Canis lupus familiaris: one gene and its partner. The protein of the gene in region 1 interacts with the protein of each later gene in a pairwise test. Links are inferred from orthologs where the notes say so. Each region holds a gene or a part of one and is shown on either strand. Other genes may lie near its edges. The genes, in order: TXLNA and CDR2.

Region 1 (15,502 bases):
GTCATGTGCAAAACAAAAAAACAAAAAACAAAACAGAAACCTTCAGAAAGCATCCTTTGGGTGATCTCTTGTCAATCATTTGTGCAGGCTAGAGAGGCACCTGTGAATGATAAGGCTACTGAGAAGCATCGCTGGCCTGGTCCTGGCACCACCTGAGGGCTCCTAACAGTGTACCAGCCCATAGCAACTTTCTCCAGATCCCCTGTCCAAAGCAGGACAGCAGGTGGATTCCCAGCTCTGCAGGCTCTGCCCAGGGACCCCCTTCTCCAGGTTATGAGAAGCAAAGGAGCTTCCAGGGTAGCTACGAGAGCCAGAGCCGCCCAAGCCCTGTTAACGAGGGAAACAAAGTCAAGGCCTGAGTGTGTGCCACTTGTCACGAGCCCTGAAGGGCAGGAAGGGGGAGGGGGGGGTCTGAGCTCTGAGCCTCAAATCAGGCAGGGGAATGTTCAAGTCACTTGTCCTGCCAGCCCACTGTGACAGCAGCTACAGATGGCAGCTCTTCTTTAAGACTCTTCAGCTCACAGAAGAGCCAGTGACTTCATGCGTACACACCCCCACCTCCAGTGCAAGCCCATTTTACACTGATAGAAATGTATGAGGCCTTGCACATATGCCATATGTTAAGTAAAACTGACCCACAAAATCCAAAACTGCCAAGTGTCAGATGTCAGCCAGGTTAAAGCACCCTGGGCCTCAGCACTGGACTGCTTAGCGGTGGGAGCCTTGCATGGGCCAGGCCTGGCTGGGCTGCTTGCTCCCTTCCCAGCACGCCCCCTGTGCCAGGTTTCCTAGGCGGTGGTGGAGGTGGGCTCCTGGGGCCCTGCTTGGCCAGGTGCTTCTGTGCTCGGTGCTCCAGGGCAGTAAGGAGCTTCTGTGACCCTTGGGGACCCAGGTGACTGGGCCCCAGGACCCTCACAACCCTGCTCCTTGGAGGCAGCTGCAGCCTCTGGTCTTCGCTCAGGGCCACCATCAGTGATGGAGCCCTGGCCACCAGCACTCAGGTCCTGCACCCTTTTGTTCAGGTCATTGCGTTCTGTCTGCAGTGCTCGGCACAGCTTCTCTAGCCGCTGGATTTTTACCTGTAGGCCCTCTAGCTCTTTGTCCCGGAGTGTTTTCTGGGGAGAGAAACCGGGCCTTAGTGCCATGCCATTAATCCCCCACCCAACAGAGTCACTTGGTAGAAAACATTCACACTTGAATGATACTATGAGCAGGCCAGCATCAAAACCCTGCCCCTTCCTAGGAAAATAGCCCTGGCATATGCCAAGACCTGGCTGTTGGTAGGGTTGTGGTGCAGAGAAGCAGCACGACTTGAAGACAACATATTTCTTCCTTTATCCATCAGGTGACACTGGCAAAGTAAGGCTTGGCTTTTGGAGCCTATTTCCTTATCTGTTAAAATGGACTACTGGGGTGCGTGGTTGGCTCAGTCGGTTAAGCACCTGATTTTTGATTTCGGCTCAGGTCATGATCTCAGGGTTGAGATCAAGTCCCATGTCAGGCTCTGTGCTCAGCAAGGAGCCTGCCTGAGATTCTTTCATCTCCCCCGCCTGTATATGCACCTAGGTGCATGCTTTCTTTCTCTCAAATAAATGAATCTTTTTTTATTTTTTATTTTTTTAAAGATCTGAGAGAGGGGATCCCTGGGTGGCTCAGCGGTTTAGCGCCGCCTTCAGCCCAGAGCCTGATCCTGGTGACCTGGGATCGAGTCCCACATCAGGCTCCCTGCATGGAGCCTGCTTCTCCCTCTGCCTCTCTCTCATAAAAAAAAAAAAAAAAAAAATGATGAGAGACAAAAAGTGTGTATGTGTGCACATGCCCATGTGCACGAGTGAGGGGGGAAGGGCAGAGAGATAAGCAGATTCTCTGCTCAGCAGGGAGCTCAAATCAGAGTGATCCCAGGACCCTGAGCTTATGACCTGAGTTGAAGTCAGATGCTTTACCAACTGAGCTACCGAGGTGCCCCTAGATAAATAAATCTTAAAAAAACAAACAAACTACTAACATTAACCTCATAGATCTCAAGAAGGTTCAATGAATTGGCATCACCTAAAACATTGAGGAGGATCTGGCATACACTAATTAGTTCCCTTCTGCATCTCAAACCACGAAATCAAATTAGCTGAGCCACCCTGCATATAAACTGTGCCCACCACTGGTACCCCTTGGTTTTTCAGTTCCTGTACTTCTACCTACCATTTGTTCTCTTTGCTTCTACTGCAAATCTACCACTGGGCTCATCATCTCCCACAGGGTGACCACTGGCAGTGCCTTTGGACTTGGGCAGATGGACTTATGAGTCCCAGCTCCACCTCATGCCAGCTGCATGACTTACTTGCAGAACGTATAGGAAAGGGCCCGTCACTCAAAAACTGCACTCCCCTACCCCCCGTAGCTGCAGAGCACACTCGGCCCACCTCCTCAGCCATCTCAAGCAGGGCCTTGTTGCTGCTCTCCCAACGGGACCGGTACATGGTGGTTTCTTTCTCTAGCTTCTTGATCTTCTTAGTCATCTGAGTTATGGGACACATAGAAGAAAATAGTCAGGGGGACAGACTGTCCATCTGAATCTCCAAGGTGGGCAACATGTTACAGCACGCTGTCTGTGCCACCTGAAGACATCTCAAGGTAAATGTCACCGCCACTACCACCACCACCACCACCACCACCACCACATGACAAGGCTGCCCCTCTTCTCCAGGACAACCTGGAGGATGCACATATCAGTGATGCTTCCTTGAGAGGCGGGAAAGGCTCTGACCCCTTCCCTCCATACAGCCCATCCCTGGTATCAATCATGCTATTACTGTGAATAGCTCCCCAGAAGGAACCCCAGGGGTTGGGGGCTTCCTGAAGGCAGGCCCAGGGTGCCCCTGTAGCCACACTCAGGCTGGACACAGTTACCTTTTCCATCTCCTGTTTGAATGTGGTGAACACTTCACTGCTTTTGGAAAGAGTGTTCTGGAATTCCTCAAACTTCTCTGTGTATAGGGCAAGCTGGGAGAGAAAGAAGCCCAGAGATAAGATTATGCTTCTCTAGAATGCACTTATGGCTAATGCAGTCAGACCTATCCTTGGACCTCTGACCCAACAATTCTATCGAGATACCATTTTTCTTTAAAGCAGAAAAGCTATTTTAAAGAACAGAATCCAAAATGTTAAGCTTAGAAAGTAGGATTTGGGGTGACTTATATTTTGCCTCTATGTTTGTTTTCAAACTTCTCTTCGAAATTAAGTACAATTTATGTAATTAAGAACAACCATTCTCATTTTGCCTCCTCAAAAGCTGCACAACACTTCCAACTAGGAACAAAGTCCTTCAAGCTCACCTAGCCACCTGGTCACCATAGGTGCTGGGCGGGTCCAGACAGAACAAAGGCTCAGCAAGGTCACACAGCAGTCAAGGTGGTCCTAGAACGAGGGTCCCATTTCCCTCCCCTAGGATGGGGGCCCAGTAAGGTGACCTCAGAGGCACAGGATCAGGACACACTGTCTCACCTGCTGCTTCAGGTGGGTCTCCTGCTGCTTCATCAGCTCACACATCCTCTGGGACTCCACTGCCTCTTTGAGGAGCTATTTTCAAGATAGGACCCCAGATCTTGTCAGAAACCCTTAGGGGCTGTCTGGTCTTTTTTAGCCATATACCCCAGTACCCACAAAGTGTCCTGCTCCCTGAGTAAGCTGCGTCCTGGCCCGGCCAGGCAGCAACTTTCCCTTACAAACATGACTCTGAGCTGAGCCAGAATCCACCCCGCCTTCCAGACTCCCCTGTACAGGGCCCGAGCCTCACAAAGTCCTTTTCTCGTTGGTGCCTCTCCTCTGCCTCCTTCAGCATCTCCTGGGCCTGCTGGAGTTTGGCATCTACCAGCTGCTGCTGCAGGTCCTTGTGTTTGAAGACCTTGTCGATATGCTGCAGGAAGGCATGGTAGGAGGGCCACCTGTCAGCAGCTCTCTTTCTCGGGAGGCCCAGTGGGCTGCATGGATGTCCCATCTGCAGACACCAGGGTACCCTGCCCAGCCTCCCATCTCACTGTGACACGCTGGACTCCCGCATGTTCTATAGCACATGGGCCCCAAATCCCTGGAAGGTCTACTTCCCAACCTCACCTTGTTTCTCTCCAGTCAGTCCTAGGTGTGCACAGGGATGAGATCAGCTCCCAGGAAGCCAAGTAATAAATACACTCAAACCTCCAGCCCCAAGAGATCACTCCGCTGGGCTAACAACCCTCACTTTTGTAGCCCGACTCCCTTGTAAATGGGAAGAAAGGACAAAAACGACACCTCCACCAACACAACCGCTTAGCCCCATTGGCAAAGATCTCCCCACCTATAGACCAAGACTAGATGTGCAAATTTCAGGGAGTGGCAGTCCTAAATGTTGAGGAGCCCCAGGAGCCGGGGGCAGGTGAGAGCAGGAATGAGGAGGAGGCGCGGAACTCAGTGGGACTTCAAAGGTCAGAGCAGTTGAGAAAAGGTACATGGGGACACACTTGTGTTCTAGATAGTAAAGGAAAGGTGGCCTGGAGGCGGGTGTTGGCTGCTTGGGACTCCTTACCTCCTCCCGCAGCTCGTACTGCTCGATCAGCTTCTTGAGCCTCTCAGCCAACTCCATGTTCTCCTGGCGCAGCTTGGAGTTGCGCTCGTTGTGCTGCTCCATCTGCAGCTGAATGTCATTCAGTGTCACCTGGAAGTGGGAGGTCACCTCCTTGCGCTTCTCCTCTTCCTCCCGGGCCCGCTGCACGCCTTCTTCCTGGGCAGAGAAGTCAGCCCTGGCTCCATCAGCTGCTCTTCCCCAGCCCACAATGCTCTATACCCACAACCCTCTCTACTCTCAGTGAGCAGCACCAGCCAGGCTCCAAGATGCCATGCCAATGGGGGTTCCCAGGGGACCCCTCTACCCTTCTATCAGGTGACAGCAAGGGAGATATTCTCTCCCTAGAAGAATGCAGGCATACACCTAAGTGTCATTCTAGAGCAATCTAGGTCTCCTGAAGTCCATTCTTCCAGACTCAGGCTAAGCAGTCTTGTTTTGTGCTTTCATTTCTCACCTCTCACCAACTAGTTAAAATTTAGTAGTTCCCAGGGTTGGCAAGATTGTGCAGAATTAGGCACGAGGACAATATTGGTGGGGAGGTAATCTGGCAAAGTCTATTAAAACTTATATAACGTGCATGCTCTTTGACCCAGATCTTTAACTTCTGAGGTTTATCCTAGGGACAAACTAGATACACTTACCCAAGAATATATATAACAAGAACTTTCACTGTAGCTCTACGTATGAAGTACTGTAAACTTAAAAACAACTCAGCAATTCCTTAACTAGGGCACTGACAAAATACAGAATACGCATACAACAACGCTATTGAAAAGAATGATGGGTCTGCCTTTGGCTCAGGTCATGATCCCAGGGTCCTGGGATCGAGTCCCCCATCGGGCTCCCTACAAGGAGCCTGCTTCTCCCTATGCCTATATCACTACCTCTCTCTGGGTCTCTCTCATGAATAAATAGGTAAAATCTCAGGGGGAAAAAAAAAAGAATGAGACAGCCTCAAAAAAAAAAAAAAAAAAAAAAAAAGGAAAAGTGAGCTATACATGTTAGGTGAGAGGACAGAACAGGATGTGAAACAATACACATGACCTCTCCATTTAAAGAACCCTATAGAAAATTACATATGGATGCAGGAAGTCTGAAGGCTGTACTTAAACTTATGGGTAAGTAGGTGTACTTCCCAGTGGTTTCTCCTGGACACTGGGGCTGAGGAGGGTGAGCAACTGTTACCTTTGAATCTCATACTTTTGTCACCTCTGAATCTCTCATATCAAGTTTATATTACAGTAAAAATGTTGTCAAAGACAAACTAAAAATGAACAAAACAAGCTGGAAAACACTATATATTCACTGACCCAAATTTGTAACAAATATATAAAGGATACATATATAAAAACCACCCAGAGGTCACAGCAGTGACTGGGCTTTACCAGACGGACCCTGCCTGAGGAGAAGCAGGACAAAGAAAAAAGACCCAGCATTTCAGACTGCTTAAGTCTGGGAGAGGAGCTGTCCACCAGCGCTGGAACCTGACTTACCTGCAGACTGCCAGTGAACTGAACAATATCAAAGACCTGCCTCCTGGGCTCCCTCACCATACCTGACACAGGGACAGGTCAAGTGGTTACAGGCAGCTATCCCTAAGGCAGGGCGTTACTGGGGAAATCAATTTCTCTGCCAAAATCCCATGCTACCTTTTTTTTTTTTTAAAGATTTTATTTATTTATTTATTTATTTATTTATTTATTTATTCATTCATTCATTCATTCATTCATTCATTCATTCATTTATTTATTTATGATAGGCAGAGAAAGAAAGAGAGAGAGGCAAAGACACAGGCAGAGGGAGAAGCAGGCTCCATGCACTAGGAGCCCAACGTGGGATTTGATCCCGGGTCTCCAGGATCACGCCCTGGGCCAAAGGCAGGCGCTAAACTGCTGCACCACCCAGGGATCCCTCCGTGCTACTTTTTAAGGGGAAAGCCCACCAAGGAAAAGTGGAAGTCAAGGGAACCAGAGTCGTAGGGGCCAGCCCACCTTGAGGGAGCGGTTGTGGCGTTGGAGCTCCCGGCACAGGCTTTCTAGCTTACTGCGGGCCAGGACAGCCTTGCTGTGCTCCCCACGCAGGTGGTCCTTCTCCTGCACCAGCTGGCTCTGTTTCTTCTGCAGCAGCTTCATCTGCTTCTGGGAGTTCCGATGCTCCTCCAGCTGTGGAGCAGGAAGGCAAGTAAGTGCCTAGTCGGGCTTTTCCCAAGGGACCCCGGCCCTCTCCCGACTCCAGTTGTTAACAGTTCTGGCTGGACACTGTGTGGGTGCTTAATGTACTTCTCCGATAAACCCAAGGGCTCCATCTCCAGTATACAGAAACAGGCACTTACGACAAGCAGGGATTCAGAGGCTGCAGACCCCAGCCTCTCCCCACTCTAACTCTAGAGATGAAGTTCTCAAGACTCTCAGACCATTACATTCCTTCAACCTTTGTGACACTCATGTCCTCAGATGACACCCCTTACCACTCCTCCTTGTATTCAATAGACCCCCGTCACTCCCTCTTCACTGCTCTGAAACTTAGCGCCACTTCACTCAACATGACTGCTGTTATCATTTTGGCCTTTTCATTATGGACAGATCTTAACCTTCTCAGACCCTGTCTTTTCCCCACATCAGCTACCCTCCCATGAGCCTAGTCAACGCTGATACAGTGCAACTCTATGTAATGACAACTGTTCAAGTCATTGAACATTATTTTTTCTTCCCCTTTCCTTAGGTGTTTGAAACCTAAGTTGTATCTTACACTTAGAGCACATCCAAATCTAGACTAGCCACATTTCAGTTGGCTAATGGTTACTGTCCTGGACATCAGATCCAGATTTTGTCATTACCCAGAAGCACACACCCCTCCATTATCTCATCCCAGGGCAGGACCACTATCCCCTACCATTCTAGCTCATTCCATCCAAAATTTGTGGCCCCAGAAAGTCTACCATACTGGACCTCCAACCCAGTGACCCAACTATCCTTTCACTTTCCTTGAATGTGTCTTTAAATAATCACTGACCTTCTTATACTTGTCTTAAGACTTCTTACACTCAACTCTCTTGCCCCCTTTTCCTATCAAAACCCCAACCCTGATATCCCAACCTCTGATTCCTCTGCACAGGCACTGAAGCAGAAGAACCTCTTTTAATTCCTAACTACCCATTTGAGGAAGACCCTCGTCTGCCATGCGGCCTAACCATATTCCTTATGTTAGTCACACTCCTCTTCCAGAGAACTATTTCATCCTCCTCCTTCTCAGCTCTCCTTTGGCCCAGCAAAAAATATCTTTCTCATTTCCCTGAGAATGGAAGCAACCAGAGGCACAGGGGCATAAGTTCCACCTCTGCCCATCCACCTGCACCGGCCTTTTCCTCTGGTTACCAGGATCCAGTGGTGCTTCCCAACACAGCCAGCCTTCTCCTTATGCTCTGGCCCTTAGCTCCTTCTCTACTTGAGAACATCACTCAGCTCCTGCTCTCTTCATCAATCTTTCCCTGGATGGCTCATTCTGAAGGGGTGGTATCTTTTTCATATCCTATCCTTTATTTAATCATTATAGCAACCCCACAAGGCAGGTGTGATTTTTCCCAATTTTACAAATGAGAAAAACTTCTTAGAGAATTCTAGCTAATAAATGAAAATGGAGTGAAAGAACTTAAAAACAAGTAGTTAGGAAATGACCCACAGTGGATTAATCCATTTATACAAATTCTGATGGCAACCTGACAAGGGAGGAACCTGGCTGGCCCCACCTGAACTCAGTGGACAATCTTCCATCAGTAAAAGTGGGAGGAACACACTTTCTCTACAGAGTACCACTTATGTAGAGTTCTTATCAAAATAGTTGAACTTGGATTGGATCAAGCTTCTAGAGTTAATTTCCCCTATATCTACAGGAACTAAGGAGGTAAAGGAAGAAGTTAAATGTCACCACAAAAGCGAAGAAGTGAGGCACAGGGCGATTGATCTGCAGTAAATCAATGTCATGAGAAAAAGGTTGGCAGTAAATGAAGACTATTTTGGAATAAAAGGAAAAAAAGTTGTAAGGACCTAAAGTATTAGATGGATCTCCTGTAGACCCTGATTTGATCAAACTGACATTTTAAACAAATGGGGAAATATGCGTATTAGAGTATCACATCAGTGTTAGTTTAAATGTGAGGATGGCACTGTGCATTTTTTGGGGAGATGCACACTGAGGCACACAGGTGTGAGATGACATGGTATGTGGGACTGGGGCCAGGAGCTATGGTTTTACCACTGTAATATGAAGGGTTTCTTCTTACAGTCAACATGGAAGGGGCCAGCTGGGACTTGACTCTCCACTTAACAGATGGAGAAAAGGCTGAGAGAGGCTGAATAGGAATTAAGCCACCCACCTGCCCCGGCACCCTCAACCCCATGCCAGGTGGCCTGCTGACTTTCCAAGGCAGGGCGGATGCAAGAAGAAGGGGGAGAACTGACCAGTTCAGCATACTTCTTGCACAGAGCTGCCAGCTTCTCCTCTGGGGTGCTCAGGGTGTTCAATGTCTGCATCAGCAACGTGATCTCCTTCCCTGCAAAGCACAGGGATCAAAATCATGTACCCCCTTCTCTGGGGATTTCCCCAGGCCTCGGCCCACACTCTCAGGCCTTGAGGCAGCCCTACATTATCATATTTGATACTGTTTGTTGACCTGGCTGTCATCCCATTAGACCGTGTGGTTCATGAGGGTTACCACCAACTGAACTCAGCCTATTACTGTGGCCCCAGTGCTGCTCCATATTGTCTTTGGTGCCCATCTCAGACGACATGCTCAACAAATGCTTAATAGACTAATAACTGAGTCTATGTGGAGACTCCATGGTGAACACTGAGAGTGGGAGAAAAAACCTGCCTGCTCTAATAGCAGGAGGAAAAAAAAAGACATCCCAATGGCCAATTTAAGTGCTACTGTGTCAATGCAAGGAAAGCCCTTTCGAAAGAGGAAGGAGGCAAAAAGGAATAGGTTTCCTCGGTAACTACTAAACATTTGTCAACAGTGGTAGCCAAAGAGTGAACTTTATTTGTTCCCTCCTAAACAGTGAACTTTTAAACAAATATATCTTCCGATATGTGATCCCAAGATTAATAAACAACAGGGATGCCTGGGTGGCTTAGCAGCTCAGCAGCTGAGCGTCTGCCTTTGGCTCAGGGAGTGATCCTGGAGTCCCCTGGATCGAGTCCCGCATCGGGCTCCCTGCATGGTGCCTGCTTCTCCCTCTGCCTGTGTCTCTGCCTCTCTCTCTGTGTTTCTCATGAGTAAATAAATAAAATCTTAAAAAACAAAACAAAATAAAACCAAAAACAAACAAAAAAAACCCTTTCCATTAGGATGACAAACAGAGGGTGGGGAATTAAGGACTAAGACACAGGTATAATATCACTTAACTCTGATTCTTTAACATACACACTAGTCCCCTGCCCCCAATAACTTTCTCTCACTGTGCTTCAGTCAAAGGGGCTTCCTTCTGTCTCCCTGGAGGGCTCCTGTACATAGCACAGCACCAGGCTCCTGAAGTGTCAAACCCAAGAGGCTCGAAAGATCAGTGTGGAGACTGCAAAGCACTAGCACGTAGGCCAAAACCCACACGAGTTTTGTTTGGCTCCCAGCATATTAGTTGTCAATTGTTTTTTTTTTTTTTTTCTTCAGTTGCCAATTGTTAAAAATCCAGAGAGATTTCACTTAACTGCATAATAACAAAGGGGAAAAAAGGAGAAAAAAGAATGAGGGGGGGAAAAAAAAAAAAAGGCTGGCTACACTTAGCCTGTAGTATTATATGCTATCAGCATGGTGGGACCAGATGGCAATCACCCCTTTGGATGAAGTAGGCAATGTCTTGTCCTCCTAGGGTCCCCTGTCTAACTTGGCTTATTTGTGTTTTCAACCCTGGGCTAGTCCAAATCTTACTGTAGAGAAACGAAAACTAAGGAACAGAAAGGAGAAAGGTCTTGCCCAAGTTTACAGAGCAGGTTAGAGATAGTGTTGGCTGACACAGGATCCCATCTACACCCCTCTGTTCTACGGTCCACACCCCTTGCTTGGATCAAACTAATGTGACTCGGTGCTCCAGAAAGTAATTTCCTCTGAATCCTGGGACAGCAGGTTAGCCCAAACATCCCCACCTCACCAGTAGCTGCCCTCTGCTCACCCAGACCCTTGGCTTTCTTCTTCTCCTGTGGCCTTCGGTGATCTCGGTCTCCAACCTCGTCACTGGTCCGGATCTCATCTGTGCCCGGCTCCCCCTTGGAGGTCTCCTTCTCACCATTGACCACTGGGGTCTCTGGCTCAGGCTCCCCATTCCTTGAAGCATAGGTCCGGGACTTGTCTGCATCTTCGGGTTCAGCAGGCTCACCCTGTGCCCCATCCTCACCTGGGCCCCCCTGATTGTTGTCCACACAGTATGTACTCAGGATGTCTTCCAACTGGCGGCTCAGCTCCTCAGAGACATCACGGAGGGCCCCGGACTGAGCAGTTTTGGCTTGTGCTCCTGTGGCAGGGCAAGATGAGCGGCAGAATGAGAAATGAGAAACAAGATGGTTAATTCCATTTGCTGGGATTTTTCAGGCCCAAACTTACTGGTTGGGGCTAAATGTTGCCTACTTTCTTTAAGCCTTAGTTTATTTACCCATAAAATAAGATTATTTCCCACTATTGCCCAATCATGTCTGTTATAGATGTGAAAGGAATCAAGGAAATAAAGCATCCAGCATATAGGGATGGCATGTACCTGGAGCTCAACATCTAGTCCCTCCCTTTCCCCTCCCTGCAAAAATCATTTCTTGCTATTAAAAAAGTTCTAAGAAAGCCTCCAACATGAAGAGTAGTTGCCCACTGGTGAATGCAGCATTTCTAAGCCGGGCTAGCTGGTTGGGTGTCTCATCTGAGCGCCACCTGACTTAACCCTGTCAGAGCCTTCTCTTAAGAGTTCTGCTCCTGTGCTTTGAGTGGGAGGCTCTATCAACACCCTGGGGAAAGAGGGATCTGCGGGTGGCAGTCCTCCTCTCATTCTACATTTCCTCCTTCCTGGGTAAACAGTGGCCTAGGCCTGGAACTCCAGAAGCTATCCTGGCGCACCACAAACTCCTCCCCCTGCCCGCTGGAAAGCAGAAATGGCACACACCCTCAGTCTTCCCTGGAGCCTGGCTGGAGGAACCTTCAGCTTCTGTCGCAGGAGCCGGCTGGCTGGGGCGCCCCTGGGTTCCCTCTGGTCCTACTTCGGCTTGCCCCGGGTTGCTTTTTGGGTTGGAAGTGTTGCCCGACTGCTTGGCAGCCCCGTTCTTTTTGTCTTGGTTCTTCATTGTGGTTTGCAATGCTAGGCTGGAAACAGATCCTATAGAAACAAGCACACTCGCTATATTCCAGACTTCAAAATTCTTCACAGCCTGGATCCGAAATCCCAATCCCGGGTGCACAAAGCTTCTTAGGACACACTGGCCGTCCCTCACCAGAGGGAGCCAACGGTTCTCTCTCTGGCCAGTCGGAGGAGCACGGCGCGCCCAGGCAGGTTTTCGGGGCGCTGCTTCAGAAGCGCGGCAGGCGAGGCCTCCTTTTTCTCGAAGCCGCTTCCCGGCACTACACAGCCCCCTTACCACAGGCCGAGCGCGGGATAGGCTCAGGGCCGGAGACTGACGTGGCGGGACGCTCGATTCCCATCCCTCCTCCGGCCCCCAAGCCCCACGTGGGCCCCCCCGCGCGCAGCCACCCACGCCCCGCGCGCCTCCCGTCCGCGCATGCGCACAGGACCAGCCCTGCCCCCCCCAGCCCACTCCCTCGCGCGGAATCGGCGTGATTCCCTCCACCGACCGAGAGTGTTCAGGCCCACCGACCTGCTGGTCGCCTTGTTCCCCCCAAACCTCCGCAACACGCACCTCACTGCCGACCTCCTGACGGCTTCGCCCGCTCTGGCCTCGCACCGGAAACCCTGGGTAACCGCTGCCGGCCAAGCCGCCTGCTCCTGCCACAGCCAATCAATAGCCGGCGCTCTCGCGGGGCTTGCTGGGAAAGATGAAGCGAAGGCAGCCTGAGGCGGCCTTTGAGGCGGGTGAGTTGGGCAGGCGGAGGGGGAGGGAAAGGACTACATGTCCCTCCATGCACCGCGGCTGACCCCCAACTCCCAAGATGCAATAGAAAGGACTTCAGTCCTGGGAGGCGGATACCCAGGAGGTCTGAAAGGAGCTAGTCATTCTGCACGAATACTGGAATCCGCCTGGTTCCTGTCGTGCAGAATTTATGATTCAGGTCCAGAGCCCTGTGCCTGGCTGTTCTTTCCCGCACGCCCTTACCAGCCTCAACCCTCTGCTGTGAACATCTATGACCAGGAACTCTGATGACAAGGGATAGAGCATTGGGCTGGGAATCAAGACCTGTATTCCAGTTCTAACTTCATCGCGAATTCGCTGAGGGGCCATTCTTTTCTTTCCCAGGCCTCATTTTCCGTATTCAAATGAAAACTTTTCATAACAGTAGTAGTTCTTTGCTTACAGTGTGCTTTCCCACCTACTAGCTTAATCCGCCTATTTACTAAGCTCAGTACTATTTTTTATTCCCATTTGCATCTGAGGACAGTAAGGCAAAAGTTAAATAACTTGTCCCATCGCTATTGAGTAGTGAGTAGGGATTCAAAATCAGAAAGTCTTCCGTTTTACCTCCTGGATTACCCTGACTCGTACCCAGAAGAAATTCACCATGGCACTTTCTCAAAGGATGAGTCAAGGTAATTTGGTGGAATTATTCCCCCCACCCGCCCCAACTCTGCGTTACCAGCTTGAGTCCTTCTCTGGAAGGGGTTGACAGGGCTCTGCAAGAACTTTGGCCTCAGCCAATTCCTGAACATTTTCTCTGACTGGCCCATCCTCTACAGACAAAATCGGAATTGCCATGGGCTCAAGGGGAAAAACCCAAACTTTCTCTAAATGTGAGATCACAGTTCTATATTCAGCTGTCTATACATAATAGAATAAAAGCTACCAACCCCTGTGCCTGGAATTTAATGTGTAAATGGCTTGGCTTTTGTTTCCAGTCAGTTCTGTCCATGCCCTTTGCCTTTTTTGCTCCCACTATACTCTATTTCCAGGATTTCCAAGTTTTTTGCAGGTGCTAGTCCAGTTTCCAAAATGCCCTTCTGGCAAAACTAGTATTTTGAGGTCTAGCACAAAGGTCATTTCAGACCCTTCCCAGTGCTCTGTAGTCTGTCCCAGCTCTCTAGGTCTGGATAGAGCCTTTTTTTTTTTTTTTGGATAGAACTCTTTAACATTTGTAATGAGATATTCAAATTATTTGCTTACAAGTCAATGAACATTACAAGAACTCTTGGCTAAATTGTATTCCTAAAGCCTAGCATCAGTCTGGGGCAGTGAAGACAGAATGAAATCATGCAAATTGAACAGTGTGGGGGCTCTTAAAGATGTTCAATTATTTTCCCCAGTTAGACTTATGGCCAGTGCTCTTCCCCATCCCTTAGTCTGCTGTTTATCAACTAACATTGAGAGGCAATATGATATAGTATGAAGGTGGAACTCAAGCCAGAAATGCTTGGAATCCAGGTCTTTCAAAGGCCCTGATTATTTCCAGAAAAAACATGTTGGAAATCTCTTGAGGTTACATATAATCAGGCCTTGATGGCTTCCCAATGGGAAGAAGATGTTCTAGGCAAATAATATTATAAAGATAATAAGAACAAGGTATCTGTGGGGCCAGGGGGTAGAATGGTGTAGCTAGAAGGATCAACAGTGGCCTACAGAGGACAGGTGGGTAAAAATGTATTTCAATAAAGCTGATTAAAATAGGCAGGCAAGGAATAAGAAAATTTGAGAAACATGGGTTAAAGGTTATTTTCTCCTTTGCTATAAAGGAAAGTTGGGTCAGTTGGGGAGACCACTGGGAACGCTGGGGATTGTGGTAAAATAGAGAGCTCTTGCAGATTGTTTTTAAGCAGAAACTCAGATCTAGTAGTGCCAGAAAAATTTCAAGATAGATCGTTTAAAAATGTTGGCAATTGGACAGCCAGGGTGGCTCAGCGGTTTAGCACCGCCTTCATCCCAGGGCATGATCCTCGACTCCCCGGATCCAGTCCCACATCGGGCTCCCTGCATGGAGCCTGCTTCTCCTTCTGCCTATGTCTCTGCCTCTCTCTCTCATGAGTAAATAAATCTTAAAAAATAAAAATAAAAATGTTGGCAATGAATTAAACACACTATCAGACAACCGAAATCCTTTTAGGTTAAATCAGCTTTATGGCTAGGTCTTGTCCTAGCCTAATCTTGTCCTAGGAACTGACCTAAATGGGAATAGTTTGCATGACCTCAGTGGCTCAAAGGGCTGTAAGTGGAACTGATTAAATGTGATCAAAATCCTGTAGAGAAACTCTAGAAAATGCACACTATTGTGACAGAACAGATCAGTGTTTGCTGGGAGTTGGGCATGCAAGGGGATTCCAAAGGGGCATATGGAAACTTCTGGAGGTGATGGATGTGTTTACCATCTTGATTGTGATGATGGTTTCATGGGTGTGTATGTCAAAACTTATCAAATTGTATATTTTAAATATGTGCCATTTACTGTATCAATTGTATTTCAATAAAGGTGATTAAAAAAAATTCTTGGGGCACCTGGGCGGCTCAAGTATGTTAAGCATCTGCCTTAGGTCATGATCTCAGGGTCCTGGGATCTGCCAGGTGGTGGCGGGCTCTGTGCTCAGCAGGGAAGTCTGCTTGTTCACTTCCCCCCAGCTTCTGTTCTCTCTCAAATAAAATCCTAAAAAAAAATTATTTATTGCAGGAGTAGGCTGCTGCAATCCTAATTCCACTGTTAGGCCACATGTTTAAACACCCTTTCCTGGGGATCCCTGGGTGGCGCAGCGGTTTAGCGCCTGCCTTTGGCCCAGGGCACGATCC
Region 2 (15,941 bases), on another chromosome or scaffold:
AGGAGTTAAACCTTTCATTCCTGTGGGAAGATACAGGAAGAATCATCACATACCTGTGGGCAAATAAAGCCTGCCCCATACATGATGCTCCTTATGGAAGAAGAAAGAACATCCTTAGGAATGAGACTATCTGCAAAGATCATCATGAAGTTATTGAAGAAGGTTAAATGGAAGACTTGGAAGAAATTCATTACCAGGAAAAGGCAAAAGTTTTTCTGCGTCAAGACCTGTCTCATCAATGAGACCACAGAGGTCCAGGGGAGATCCTGTTCACTTTCTGAGAAAAGGTTTTCCTCCAGGCTTCTTTTAGGTTCAAACCGATTCATGTGGTACATGCCAGTGTAAAGGCTGGCTGAGGCAAGAATGGCAATGACCACAGCAACAGCCTGAAAATTGAGTAAAATTTCCATGTTATCAGAGATAAGGCCACAGAAAAGGATACTGGTGGATCCTACCAGTGATGCCATTTGGTTAATTTTAATAAGCTGAAGCCGACTTTCATGTCTGGTGAAAATCTCTGCAAACAGTGTACACTGAGCTTGCTGAACAAAGGTAAGCGTGCTATCAAAAGCACATAATGATACTACCAGGTGAAGTCCACTAAGCCAGTCACCTTCTTGATAGTATTTCCAAGGGAACCAAGGAAGCAGGAAGGCTATTGAATATAAAGGGGCACCGTACAAAACAGAACTACGACGGCTAGAACAGCAGTCAGCCTGAGAGTTGTTGTGAAAGTACCCAGTCAGGTCATTAAGAGCATTCCAGATCATTAAAATCATCTAGGAGGAAAAAAACCAACATATTATTATTTTAGAATGTTTGATGAACATTGATGAAAGTGACTCCTAAATTTCTTAAGTGAAGTAACTAAAACTATGCGGTGGGGGAAGCTCACTGCTTTCAAAACCAGCATATATCCCATAATATTAATAATCATATCAGTTAACGCCACTCAAAAAGCCAATGTGCATTCACTTTGTGTTTAGGCATTGTACAAATACTTCAATTAATTCATTAAATCCTTAAACCAATCCTATGAACTGGGTACTACAATTATTCCTACTTTACAAATGAAGAAACCGAGGGCTGCAGAAAGTTATCAATTTGCCTAGCTAATAAACGACAGAGCCAGGGTCTGAGCCAAGGCAGATGACCCCAGCATCTGTGCTTTCAATCATATGTTAGATTGCTTCCCCATAAGGCACACAAGGCCAAGCCTGTATATATACCATGGCATACTTTTACATAATTCCATTAGGAAAGGTTAAAATATCAATGTTTGCCACTGCAAAATGCCAAAAAATACTGATTAAGTCAAGTGTGTTGTTGGTAATAAATAACATTATAAAATATAAGGGCTTTTAAGACCATTAACTCTATCCACCTTGACCACATTAACTGGTAATGAGTTACAATGCAATTTGTGATTACCACAGAACTTTTCTAGACATAGACTATCTTAATATTTCTAATTGTAAAAATAAAAAAATATATTATTCCATATAAGTGAATTTTCCAGGTAACCAAAGCCTTCCCTTTAAACTCTAAAGCTTTTATGTTTGAAGTGGCAATATTTAAAAAATTTCTTTGTCCTCAAACAGAGGATCTTGGACATAGAAAATCTTTTCTTGAAAAGTCAGCTATTCGCGTGAAGAGTCAGCCCTTTGGAAAATCATAATACTGTACAACTGTAGGGAAAGAGAAACTCTGTCCTAGGTGATAAGATAATGAAGGTTCCATCTCACCTGGGCTTGGTAAAAGGCCACTTCTGAAATCTTGTACAGATGTAAAAACAGCTTCACATAGTAGAAACTGAAGACAGAATTTAGCATTTCAGTCCCTAATGTTATCATAGAATATCCCCAAGCAATCGGTTTGATACTTAAAAGTGTCATTTTCCACACTAAGGAATTCTTCTTCCTTTTTTTTTTTTTTAAAGAAAAGGAAAGTAGTTAAAATTCATACAATAGCTGTTTTCATACAATAGCTGATGGGTGGCAAAATTCCACGGGACACTAATTTTAGGTAAGGAAAAGTCTAAAACCACTAGCTATACATATGTCACCAGTTTCAACACTTAACTTTCTTATCATTCTCTTAACATTTTTTGAGAAGTTGCCAGGGACACTAATTTGCATAGAGTTTAACTCACTGGCACATATATATTTAAAAAAATACACCTAACACGGGGCTTAAACTCATGACCCCAAGATCAAGAATCACATGCTTCTCTAACTGAGCCAGGCGCCCCTACTTGAATATATTTTTAATAACTCTTTCAAGTTCTAAAAGTAAGATTTATTCATGAGTTTGGATATGCTTAACTAAGGACCAAGGAGATGTGTTTACGGTATTTTCCTCCCTACTGGGGAGGGTGCAACAGAAAAGGAACAAGGAGGTGACATCCTTTAGTTAAAGTCAGGCAGAAGAAATAGTATAAAGTTAACCATTCAGTAGTGACAAACTTGCATTGGAATATTTATTCTTGGTCTTCTCCTGACAGACTGTATAACTTTAGCCCAAAGGATGTATCAAAGATGGATATTAAAAATAACACATCTGGGGGGCACCTGGGTGGCTCAGTTGGTTGAGTGTCCAACTCTTTCATTGCAGTTGAGGTCATGATCTCACAGTCCTGAGTTGGGCTTGAGATTCTCTCTCTCTGCCTTTCCCTCTACTCACATGCACTTGCTTGCTGTCTCTCAAAATAAAATCTTAAAAAAAATAAATAATAATACATTTGCTCTGATCTAGATGTCCCTCTTAAATCTGACCTATTGTCTTACCCATTCAATGACTTGATTCATGCAAATAAACAATAGGAAAAGTTTAACTAAGCAAAAGGTAGGTACTGATTCATCTTCCTTTTAACCTTGACTATAAGATAATACCATGATTTTTCTGCTTTATCCCTAACTTCCTGGAATATTTAGCCAGCTTTCCACAATCATTCTGAATCACAAAGACACAAGTATTCAGATAACTCAAGAGATGTTACTTGCTTGAATAATCCTTGGGAATTAGGGAGGCACTGCAGTCTATACTGCCCAATTTCTTAGGGAAGGGGAGGGCAAGCTAGAAGCAGGGAGTGAGCAACTGGTTCAAGTGACCAAATTATCTAAGTCCCTGAGCTTCACTTTGCATTGGGTAGATCCAAAAATGGTGCCAAATCTATAGGAAATAGGGCCCTATAATTAAAAGGGGTTATTAAACCCACATGCAGACCAAACATAGTCTGTAGACTAAATAAAGAATATTTTACTCATATGTACATTAGTATCCTTAAAATATTTGTAGGTTCTGCTGTAATGATAAGATACCATCTGAATTTTTTTGTTATCATTACATGGTGCACAAACACCTGAAAAGCACAAGTGCCATTATGTGGAGGCCAGCCAACATTTTTGGCTTTAAAGGTATTCTCGGATTTGAAAAAGCTGGGAACTACTGGTGAAGATCCCATTCTAGTGAGTTACTTTTGGCCTAAGGGAGAACGAAAAGACTGGGTTTTCATTCAAGAAGGCCAAAACAAAGGAGTCAGTTGAACCAAAAGCCATGATACAAATTTAGCTCACCAAAACGTAGGCACTCTCCTTTTTCTTAGTTTTATTTCAGGCATGCTGAAACAAGAAGCATGCCACATCTTCTGAGCTGATCTATCATTACATCAGGAAGTGGGTATTTATAAACTCAGAATTTTGCAGAGGTTCACTGAGTTAAATTTTTTTAAAAAGAATTTGAGTTAAGCACCTATCCTGTCTGAAACATGTGACTATAAGGTTTTAATAATATTCTGAAAAACTCTTGTAGCCTGAATTTCTCTTTGTTTATATATACTGAGAGGAGGAAGTAAAATTCCCTTTATTTTCATTTGCAACAGGAACTATCAATATTTTGGTTTATATTATTTTCATCATGGTAAGTACTTATTTCATAAAGTATTAAACTGAAAATCACCACTTAACAATTTTTTTAAAGCCACCACTACAATCTAAAAACTCTCCTTACCTGATTTTCCTATAGCAACAAAACACAAATTATATCTTTACGAGCAGGGATCTTTTATCTTTTTTTATAAAAAAAAATTTTTATCTTTACGAGCAGGGATCTTTTATCTTTTTTTAAAAAAAAATTTTATCTTTTACGAGCAGGGATCTTTTTTATCTTTTTTATCTTTTCTGAAACTGGTTCTTCTTTACCACAAAAGGTTTTATACAGTAGAATTTAAGTAGCAAAATGGTATAATGATTAGGCTGGACAGGTGTATGATGTACTCATGAATTATTCAATGAAAACCCAAAACTTCCTTTTAGAATCAACTTGGGTTGTTATTCACTAACCTACTACTACACCAAATAATATTAATGTCACAGAGAAAGCTGTTCCTGACTGCTTCTAAGTTTTGACTAAGTAGACTGTAAAAGAATGATGGGGACTTCTCCAAAGCATGACTTTAAGCAGCGAAAGCTAACATCTGTTTTTCAATGTGATTTTTGTACAAACTTTCCAAGGGAAAATCGTTTCCCCAAAAGGTGTCCTTAAAACGAACCCACTAATACCAAAGACTAAACTATCAATAACTTTAACTCTCTATATCTTTCTCTCTTTTTTTTTTTTTTTTTTTTTTTTTTTTGCTTTTGAAGGAGAATGTGAAAGAATATTTCAATACACTGACCAATTTGATTTGGAATCTAAGTTATTTGCCATGGAGAAAAAAGCTAGCACTTTCAATCTTGTGGATCAGTGACTATGAAAATGAGTCTCTTGAAGGTCAAATGCCTGATTCTAGCCCTTCAGCTTCCACAAATCACCGTCAGCAAATCCTAAATCCAATCATCTCTTTCCAAAGAAAGTGTGTAGTGACTTACTTTTATTTTTTTTTTAATTTTTAAAAAAATTTTTTAGCGACTTACTTTAAGATAGTTGGCTTTAAATTATTTTCTTTTGGCTCTGGACTGTATCTCTACCTGAATTTTGACAATTAGGGCTAAGTAAAGGCTGTAACGTAACCCAGTTTTCTTCTTTTTTTTTAACCTAGCAATAAAAAGTAATCAGTAACATTTTGCCTTTTGGTATAACCGAATTCAGAAGAAAAGGATTTGAGTTTACTGTTCCTCTTTTATTACTAATACCATTATTGCTTCTACGTTTATTGGTTGGCATTCTACTACTATAGGAGAGAGCACGGCTGTCTTTTATGAGCTGTATCTTGACCTTTCCGTCAAGGTCGAGAACATTTACCTTCCAATCACCCCATTTAGGAGTTTCTGAGTTTTGTCTGCGCGATGATGGTAAAGGCCGCTCCCTACGAGTAGCAATTAACTTTAACTTTAACCCCAAGGAAAGCGAAGTTCACTGCCCTGCTGGCCATCAAGTGCTGCATTCAGCTCCAGCTCCCTCCAGGTGCAACGTCACGACCCTGGGTACTACACCTGGCGGTCTATGAACCTTATAAAAATCGTGTACAAAAGTGCTTGCAATTTTTTTCCCCTAAGGAAATACCTTTAACTGCACCCTATCCCCCCTCCCCCCCAGACACTCAAATGGGAGCCCTTCATTTCAGGGGGAAGTGAGTACAACTCTCAAGGGTTTGGAGGTGAGCGCTCAATCAAGGAGAAGACAGCTAACAGCCCTAAACTACCGACCGATCCGTAACTTCCCAGCTCGAGGAGCACAGCTGGGGGGGGGGGGGGGTCCAAAGTCCAGAAGAGGCCAGCCGCGCAGCGGACCTCGGGCTCCCGGCACCCTTCGCGCCTCCGCTCGCACGAAGGGCGCCCACGACAGCCGCCCACGGCTCGGACGCGGGCCCCCGCCCCTGCAGCCCATTTAGGCTGCCCACTGGCTAACTGGCTGGCCGGACACCCACCACTGGCGCCGCGGAGGCCGCCAGCTCCACCGCCAGCACCCCAAACGCTGGCCCAGGAGCGACCCAACGCACAGGCGAGGGCGGGGCCCTCGGCCGCACCCCTTCGCCTTTCCCCCGCCTTCTTTGTTTCTTCCGGAGTCGCCATTGGCTGCTTGCCCGCGAGACCGGGCGACCCGCGGGCCTGCGGTGAGACGGGATTGGACGACGTCGCCGCCGCTCGACCGGCGGCCCGCTCGCGATTGGCCGAGGCGCCGCCGGGGGTTTGAATCGCGGCCCCGGCCGGGGAGGGTTCTGCCAAAGTGCCACGTTGGGCCCGGCTGCGGCGTGAGGAGCCGGTTCAGGGCGCCGGCCCGGGCGCTCGAGCCGGGGCTCCGGTCGTTGGGGCCGTTGGGCGGCTCGAGGCGGGCCGGGGAGCCGGTGCGCGGCGTGCGGGGCGGGTCGCCCGGCGGCAGCTCTGGTCAGGAGGCGCGGCGGAGCCTGGGCGGCGGCGCGTCCCGCCCGAGGGCGGCTCTGGCTGAGGGCGGAGGAGCCGGTGGAGCGCCCGGGGCAGCGGCTGAGGCGGGACGGCGGCGGCGGGGGCCGCTGCCCCCGGAAGAGCCGGCCGAGATGCTGGCGGAAAACCTAGTGGAGGAGTTTGAGATGAAGGAGGACGAGCCGTGGTACGACCACCAGGACCTCCAGCAAGGTGAGGGCGCGGTCACCCCCCCACACACACACTCCTCGGGAGGGCGGCCTGGCCGGGAGCCGCCCGGGCGCGAGACCGTTACGAAGTCGCCCCTGCCCGCGGCCGGGGGCCGCCAGGTGCGGGAAGGTCTGGCGCTCACCTGGCGTGGGGACCCGCCGCGCGCCCGGCCCGCCGGAGGCCGCTTCTGCGCAGTGATCCTCGCCACCCCTGCGTGTGGGCCGCGCTCTGTGGGGGGCGCTTCCCCGGGGGGACCCCGCGTAGCCCGCGTGGACGGGGAGCCGCCGCAGGTGGTCGGGGTCGCGGGGGGGGGGGGGTGCGGGGTGTGTGGCAGGAACCGTGCCGGGCCCGCCCACGTCAGCCGCCCCATCCGTTCCCCGGAGAGGAGCTTCTCTTCTCTTGCTCCCATTTCCCAGATGAGGAAAGCGAAGTTAAAAGGGCCAAATGACTTCGCTCGAGTCAAGTATGGGGGCGAGCATTTTTTGAACTCACACACTCAGAACGAGGAGTCATGGCCACTGCCCAGACCCTGTGTCTTCTTTATCACCGGTTTACAGCTTCTTCAGTTGGGTGTCAGAAAGTTGAAAAAAAAAAAAAAATTTTTTTTTTTTTGTTGCTTATGCATAGTTCAGATGCCAAGTGAAAGTGACTTGAGGCACTTTGCAGTTTGCGCTCTAGCTTTTATTTTATTATTATTTTTTGTAAGTTTAAAAACAGGCATTGGGATCTTGGCCTGCCTTGGATTTCTTGCCGAAAGTGTCTCCAGAGAAATCTTGGAGCAGCCTTCAGTTTGGAGCCAGTGCCCTCCCCTTTTTTTTTTTTTTTTCTTTTGGTATTAATAGCGGGAATGTGCAACTGGGGACACTTTTTGAGTGTGTGGGTTCTTAACACTGGTGTTCATTTGATCCTCTCATCAAGCTATATGAATCTAGTAGATTCTATTATTGGGGGATCTAGGGTTCCACTCCAAACTTCAGAGCAAACTTTCTTAGCCACTATACTGAACACTCCTTAGGAATTTTTTTCAGGCACCTTTGGTGTCTGCAGTTCTGGGTAAATCAACTTTTTTAGCTTTAAACGTGCACTGAAAATTAACATCTAATTGAGGTGACTATTAAATGACCATGGTGTTGGTTCATGCTAATCATTGAATGTGGGGTGGCAGGGAAGGATGTAGGCTTGAATGACTTGTACTTAGAAAACAAAACAACTCTTTTGGGGAAAGGTGGCTTCTGATATGCCGTGGACAGTCACTTAAACCAAAGTAGTTCACCATTTCACTTAAATAGCCCAAGCTGTTCAGTGGCTGCAGTGCAGTATTTCCCATCATGTTCTGAATGTCCATAGGCAAATTTGTCTTACATTTTAAGGAAGCTGTTTTCAAAACTGCTGCCCCTCTCCCCCATAAGGGGGATGCCTGGGTAGCTCAGCAGTTTAGTGCCTACCTTTGGCCTAGGACGTTATCCTGGAGACCCAGAATCGAGTCCTATGTCGGACTCCCTGCGTGGAGCCTGCTTCTTCCTCTGCCTGTGTCTCTGCCTCAGTCTCTGTGTCTCTCATGAATAAATTTTTTTTTTTTTTTTTTTTTTTTTTTTTTTTTTTAAAGGAAGGTGAGCTGGAACCCTCCCTTTTCTTATTTATTTTTTATTTTTATTTTTTTTAATTTTTATTTATTTATGATAGTCACACAGAGAGAGCGAGAGAGGCAGAGACACAGGCAGAGGGAGAAACAGGCTCCATGCACCGGGAGCCCGATGTGGGATTCGATCCCGGGTCTCCAGGATCGCGCCCTGGGCCAAAGGCAGGCGCTAAACCGCTGCGCCACCCAGGGATCCCTCTCATGAATAAATTAAATATTTTTTTTAATTCCCTATAAGGATTGATGGCCTAGTTTGATACATTCTCCAGGTTTAATGAGGCAACCACTGCACAATTGGAGCATTTTCCTACAATAAATTATGTAGTTTGTATAATCACAGCTAAATATTTTTCTTTAGCAAGCATAGATCTGTGCAGGCCCTCTCCCCTTTTTAAAAATCTAGCATACTTAGCACATAATAGAGGCTCAGTTTTAATACTTATTGAACTGAGTCGCTCACATGGGATTAGTGTTTTCATGGCTCCCTTCCATCAGGTGCTTTAGTCCACACTGCCCTTCCACCCTGTGGGAAGTTTTAGGAACAACCAGTCATAAGATTTCAGTCTATGGGAAACAAATGCAACATGTTGGCACTACATGTGGAATTCTTTAACCTCTTTAACAAAGCCATCGGATGTTCAAGTTTAATGAAACTTTAATGAGCACAGGTCTAAATCAACTTAATGTCACTTTGCATTTGGAATTTGTTCTCTACTTTTTGGAAGACTTTTACATCTGTTACCACAATTTGACTTTGACATAACCCTGTATGTCATAACCAAGTGTGTGGGTTAGGAATAGATGTGAAATTCCAACAATTATAACTTGTGGAATATAGCCTGTAGAAGAATGAAGTCTGCACTGTGAATAAAAGGATATCTTTGTCCCAGTTTTTAAAAATTATATGTTAAAAAATACCTAAACTTGGGCAGCCCCGGTGGCGCAGCGGTTTAGCGCCACCTGCAGCCCAGGGCGTGATCCTGGAGACCCTGGATCAAGTCCCACGTCAGGCTCCCTGCATGGAGCCTGCTTCTCCCTCTGCCTGTGTCTCTGCCTCTCTCTCTCTCTCTCTCTCTCTGCATCTCTATGAATAAATAAATAAAATTAAAAAAAATCTTTAAAAAAAATACCTAAACTTCTAATGAATTTTTAAGTGCGTTAATTTCTCCCCCCCTCCAAAATATTTTTGAGTCTGTGCCAGGTATTCATCTAGGCACTGAGGCTACAGTGCCTATCCACAGATAGGATAGATAGGATCCTACTGCTGGAGTTGACAGTCTAAGAATCTGTTTACTAGTGAAACCTGGAGATATTGCCTCCTAGGACATGCCCAACTACAGTGCCTGGCACATGGTAGGTCCTCAGTAGATATTTGGTGCTGAATACAGTTTGGGAGCAAGTCTGTCCTTTTAACCAGATTGATAAACACATCTAATGGGATTTTATCAAGCGCAGACATCTGTTTTGTTTTGTAAACATCCTCACTGTTAACTTTACTGAGCAAGGCTTGTTTGGAGAGAGCTGCTGAAACAACTTTTTAAGATCCTGTTCTTAAAGTCATTAAATTACAAACCTGTTTCCTTTAGCAACAGAATGATTTAAGTAAATTGACCATATCAAAGTTTGCTGGGGAATTTTTTTAATTTGCTGAAAAATTCTAACTTTGGAAGGCTCTGGTCCACCATATTTATACCTTGTTAGAAATACGTAAAGCTTATCCAGGCAGAAGGAGAAAACCCTTTGCTTTTACAGAACACTTTGATAAAGAGACTGTCTTTTGTCAGAGAGCTGAGTTGGCTCAGTAAGAATACTGACAATGATCTCTGTGGGTAAGATCCTTTCTGGGACAGCAGGAGCCTTCTGTGCAGGTAATGATGGTGCTTGCTTTGAAATGTGCCCCTGAGAACAAGGTGGAAAGACTTCAGAGACTGAGTTTTCTTTTGGTCCAGCTGCTATTGTAATTGTCATTGGTGAGCTGTGCAAGCTTAGAATAAGGTTTCAAATTCCTACTCTATGGATCAGCAAATGAAGTCTTAGTTTAAAGGAATCTTCATATTTCTACTTCTTTTTGTGATGAGTACATTTGCCATGTGTACAACTAATTTGCTGAATCATTGTTGAAGGGTCATTAAAACTGGCACCATCATTTTTCTTGATGTTTATATTCAGGTTTTTTGCTTTCCCAATTATAGTAACGTTGGCAACAGGAGTTACACAGAAGCATCACCAAATGACGCATTTGATTTTGTAATAGGAAAAGCTTTCAGCTCTAATGTTGTTGAATTACTGCTGCAGACCACAGCTTAACATGGGAATTTGTTGTCCTCATAGTTTGTGAAAAACTGAAGTAAAATAAAAATATGATAGCAGTGGAATTTAAAGGTTTCAGAATTCTGGAAGAGAGATTCTTTGAAAAAATTACTCAGCTGCCAGAGCTAATCTTTTGCTTTGGCATAGGGCTGAATAGAGTGCCTGTTTAAAGCTTACAGTTTATGCTGTTAAAATAGATTATTATCACTCGCAAAGATTAATTAGTGAAAGTATTAAACATATGAGGGTATTAATAGGTTTTTAATTCTTAAGCCTGAAGTAAAAATACCACACAAGTGTGGCATTTTTAGTGGCTACCTAGTTCAGTTCAAAAGGATGTAGAAAAGACAACCTCTTAATGAAAATCTTTATTGTAAAATGGAGATGATCAGGTACATAAGACTTCAAAACTATATTGTTTCCTTTTGTGCCTTAATTAAAAATAAAAAGGACATTGAACATTCTCTTATTCCCCCCACTAATTATTTAGAAACCCTTCTTGGGCTTACTGCCAGCTTTTGGCTCCTTTTGGTTATGGAAACCAGATGCTACACAACAGGAAATAAAATTTTTTTTAAGAACAAAAAAAGACCCTTGTCTTTAAACTAACAGATGAAGTAATATCCTATTATGCAGTGTGACTTCACAGACACTTACTTGTAGTTGAGACTTGTTTTGCCAGAATTCTATCCTGAACATCTATGAAATATTTAGGAGATTGAGACTTCAGGTTACTGAACCAGGTTGGGGCTTTGTTTAACTGGAAATAAGGATTGAGATAAGGACAAGTCTCAAATTCTTTTCTGCATGCTATTTACTAGTAAGAGTACTGTGCTTGGCATCTCTTTCTGCAGCAGCGGGAGCAGGAAAGCTGCTCCTGGCTGTGTGTTAAGTAGTAGGCAGTTTCATAACTGAATGAAAGTAGTTGAAGATGGTCTCAAGTTAGTCTTGATTCTGGAAGAGGTTTTGCCTCAGGTTTTGATCACTGATTAAGAACACCTTTGGTGAGTCTCTGGCCCTTCCCAGTGAGGAATTACTACCTTAAAACAGACCAGGAGAGACTTAAGTAATGTCTAGGTAATGTTTATATGTTTATATGCTCTTTGCCTTAAATAAGCGTGGTGCCCCTTGTGTAGGGCTACATGTCCTAGGAGTACAAAATAATTATTTTTGGAACATCTGCAAGCTGTACATAGCGCCTTTCGCATTTAGTGAAAACAAGATATTAAACTGCCTGGAATTGTGTGTGTTTTCACTGGCAGAGCAGGCAATAAAAGCCAAGTAGCTCAACTCTGATTTCTCATTGCCATCTATAAAAAACAAGTGATAAGATGAAGTATCTCAAAGAAGGAAATTGACGGTCTACCTGAAACAAAGAGGTGTGTGGGTCTCCCAGTGTAAAGACATGGGATATGAAGACTATGAGATTGGAACCTGTTGACGGTAGTTTCTGTTTTGCTGTGACTCACCATGTAGATGTGGTCAGGTCAGTTAGCATCTTTGTGCTTCACATTGTCTCATTTGAAAATCCAGGCTAAATACCTTTGAAAGATAGATTAGTATCTCTCTCTCTTTTTTTTTTTTTTTTTTAGATTAGTATCTCTTAAAAGCTTTGAGCTGTTTATAAAGGTTCTATGCCTTGTGAATAGAAGATGTTATTTCATAGACTTGTTATCTGAAGTCTTCTGCCCATTAATGGATATTGTTAATATTTAAATCATGAGAGAAGGTATTTTAACACCTATCTACCAACATATATACTGTTTTTTAAAAAAAAAATTTATTCATGAGAGACAGAGAGAGGCAGAGACATAGGCAGAGGAAGAAGCAGCCTCCATCCCGGAACTCCAGGAGCATGCCCTGAGCTGAAGGCAGATGCTCAACCACTGAGCCACCCAGGCGTCCCTATACTGTTTGTTTGTTTGTTTTTAATTTTTATTTATTTATGATAGTCACAGAGAGAGAAAGAGAGGCAGAGACACAGGCAGAGAGAAGCAGGCTCCATGCACCGGGAGCCCGACGTGGGAATCGATCCTGGGTCTCCAGGATCGCGCCCTAGGCCAAAGGCAGGTGCCAAACCGCTGCGCCACCCAGGGATCCCTGTTTGTTTGTTTTTAATAAATAGGTGTAAAATGTTTTAAAATGAGCTGGAGTGGTGTGTGGTAGATTTTGATGATTTGTTTTTTTCATAATGAGGGAAAACTAACCAAGTAGAATACTAGTTATGTACTCTAATGGACAGTACCAGGTAACAAAAGTTGTGGCTTTTCTTTTACCACTTTCTCTAGGTTAAGTTTTAATGTCAGTAATAATGAATAAACCTAAAACTTTATTTGTCAACCTCTAAAACTTAAGTTTAAAAAGCGTATGTAGTAAGATTCCCAGTTTTCATAATATTTTTACATAATAAATGCTTTTTTATGACATTTTATGATGTATATAAATACTTTTTATGACATTAAGTGAAATGACTTTCCATCATACTTAAAATAAAACGTAAACATTCTTTACCATGGACTGTAAAATTTTGTGTACTCTTGATTTCTGTCTGCCCTCCAGCTTCATCTCTTTACTCTCCCCCTCATGCTTCTATCACACTGGCTTTTTGTCAGGTCGTAGATTATACCAAGTTCTTTCCTGTTACAGTGCCTCTGGCTGGCTTTTTTACATGGTGAGATCCTCACTCCTCAATCAAGCCCAGCTAAAATGTCCCTTCCAACTTTCCTTGTGACCTCCCTCTCTAGAATAGATCCTTCATTCATTATCACCAAATCTATTTTTTTTTTTTCTTTTTCACACATCACATTCAACTGGTTGACAGATCTTTAGCTCTACTTTAAGGGGATTCCTACCCCTTCTCTCCATCTCTTTAGGCCAGGATCTATAACACAAACCTTGCTTTGACACTTGCATTCACAGCAGCCAGATTTCATGGGAACTTTAGAGACTATTAAAGATCTACCTGAAGAAAAAAAAAAAAAAAAAAGATCTACCTGTACTTTGGCTCAAAGGTCTCCTGGAAAAAAATAGACAATAAAGATATGAATAAGTCCAGTCCATGAACAAATAATTATGGTGTTAGGCATCACCATGATGAATGATCATTTCTGAACTTAAGAATACATCTCCATAAAGTAGATCACTATTATTTAGTCTTACAAGTGTGGGTACATAAGAGCATGCATTACCTGGTAGAGGGACCCAGTTCAACTGAATTTTGAAAAGAACTCTGGTTTCTTTCTGTGCCATGCTACCTTCCATTGAAATTTGACTTAAATTTTATGTGTTGGGTTAGGTCTTGATTCATTCTTATTTTAAGGACAAGGATTATATAAAGTGAGTGAGATCATTTGCATTAGTCTAATATTCATTTGTTGTGCTAGATCTCCAACTTGCTGCTGAACTTGGGAAGACATTACTGGATCGGAACACAGAGTTAGAAGATTCTCTTCAGCAGATGTACACAACCAATCAGGAGCAGTTACAGGAAATTGAGGTAATTTACTGATTAAGAGAGTTACACTTTAAGTTGTGGCATGTTGCTGCTATTGACCAGTCATGTTCTGCTAAAATAGCACTTTCAAAGAACCATTGGAGAGACTTGGGAGGTTGATTTCTATTTTTTTGTGCTTTCCCAACATATGTCTGATGAAAGAAATTTCTCTCTTTACCTTGGTGAAGTATACTAGAAGCAAATGGTCCAGTGTTTACCATTATGTGAAACACAATAAAATTGTGAATATTATGCTTCGTTTTTAACTTTTTTTAAATAGATTTTATTTATTTATTTGAGAGAGAGTGTGAGCCAGAGAGAGAGAGAAAGAGAGAGAAAGTGAGCACAAGCAAGTAAGAGCAGGGGTGAGAGAGAAGGAGAAGCAGGCTCTCTGCTGAGCAGGAAGCCCGACTCGGGGCTCAATCCTAGGACCCTGGCGTTGTGACCCGCTGAAGGCAGACACTTAACCGACTGAACCACCCAGGCACCCCTACCTTTTTCTTTTAAAAAATGAATTATGTAATATTTCAGATATTCCCAGAGGTGTAAGAGAATACAACGAATAGCTCTGTACCCACCACCCAGCTTAAGAAAAAACTACCCATACTGTTGAGGCTCCCTCTTTGGTTATACCCCCTTCCCCAACCACTGCCAAATACCATCCTAAGTTTGGGTTTAGATGGAAAAAATTTTAAATTGTAGTACTGATTTCATGATGTGTTTAAATTTCTTGTGCCATTCAAAGAATTAATCAGGACAACCCAGGTGGCTCAGCGGTTTAGCTCTGCCTTCAGCCCAGGGTGTGATCCTGGAGACCCAGGATCAATTCCCTCTCGGGCTCCCTGCATGGAGCCTGCTTCTCCCTCTGCCTGTGTCTCTGCCTCTCTCTCTCTCTCTGTCTCTCTCATGAATAAATAAATAAAATCTTAAAAAAAAAAAAAAAGAATCAGGGATGCCTGGCAGGCCAGTGGGTAGTGTATGCAACTCTTGATCTTAAGTTCGAGCCCTATGTTGTGGGTAGTGTATACTTAAAAAAAATCATAAAATGGATATTTCTTTCTCTTTGCTTGATATTAATTTATTTACATTTTTGGTAGATTTTTAAATTTTATTTTTTTTAAAGATTCTATTTTATTCATGAGAGAGACAGAGAGGCAGAGACAAAGGCAGAGGGAGAAGCAGGCTCCCCATGGGGAGGCCAATATGGGACTCGATCCTGGGACTTCTGGATCACACCGTGAGCCAAAGGCAGACACTCAATCACTGAGCCACCCAGGCAACCCTTTAGTAGATATTTTTTAAATTAAAAGAGTACTTTTCCCCTAATTATAACAAACTAAAATGAGAGTTACTAGATTAAGGCTTTAAATGCAAGGTGCTGGGGTACCTGGGTGGCTCGGTTGTTGAGCGTTGGAACCTCAATTTCAGCTCAGGCCATGATATAAGGATTGTGAGATTGAGCCCCTAGTAGGCTCCTTGGTCAACATGGAGCCTACTTCAGATTCTCTCTTTCCCTCTTCCTCTACCCCTCCCCACCCCCACCTTACATATGTACATGCACACTTGTGTGTTCTCAATCTCTCTCTTTCAAATAAAAAAATAAAATCTTTTTAAATATTCAAAATGAAAAATAAAATGCAGGGTGCTATCTTGTAAATGGTCCCATTCAAGTAGTCCAGTTATGGGTTGGCCATGTGACTATAAAGATGATAATTTTGGGGGTGCCTCACTGGTGCAATCAGTGGAGCTTCTAATTTTTGACTTAGGGATTGTGGGTTTAAGCCCCTTGTTGGGAAAAAAAAAAAAAAAAAGCCCCTTGTTGGGTGTACAGATTACTTAAAAATAAAATCTGTAAGAAAATATAAAGATGATAATTTTGAATATTAACCTGACAGTTGTCTCATTAGAATACTTTTCTCTATGTTCCACCTCCCCACATACCTCCCCTACC

What was found.
Region 2: the proteins of TXLNA (region 1) and CDR2 interact in binary tests that used the Homo sapiens proteins (3 or more experiments, as listed by UniProt). The two-hybrid records come from large-scale screens. The link is inferred for Canis lupus familiaris from reciprocal best matches to the Homo sapiens genes TXLNA and CDR2.

What each region holds. Positions count from the first base shown.
Region 1 is NC_049223.1:68,408,127-68,423,628, forward strand, and holds the start of TXLNA (alpha-taxilin), read right to left. Parts: upstream 12,628-15,502; 5' UTR 12,479-12,627; intron 11,941-12,478; 5' UTR 11,909-11,940; coding exon 11,731-11,908; intron 11,098-11,730; coding exon 10,759-11,097; intron 9,144-10,758; coding exon 9,052-9,143; intron 6,757-9,051; coding exon 6,586-6,756; intron 4,751-6,585; coding exon 4,556-4,750; intron 3,911-4,555; coding exon 3,791-3,910; intron 3,574-3,790; coding exon 3,499-3,573; intron 2,998-3,498; coding exon 2,905-2,997; intron 2,514-2,904; coding exon 2,418-2,513; intron 1,116-2,417; coding exon 789-1,115; 3' UTR 1-788. UniProt on the Homo sapiens protein: May be involved in intracellular vesicle traffic and potentially in calcium-dependent exocytosis in neuroendocrine cells.
Region 2 is NC_049227.1:23,515,534-23,531,474, forward strand, and holds the start of CDR2 (cerebellar degeneration-related protein 2), read left to right. Parts: upstream 1-6,375; 5' UTR 6,376-6,472; coding exon 6,473-6,551; intron 6,552-13,880; coding exon 13,881-13,993; intron 13,994-15,941. Other genes in the region: transmembrane protein 180, read right to left, coding at 54-779, 1,746-1,895.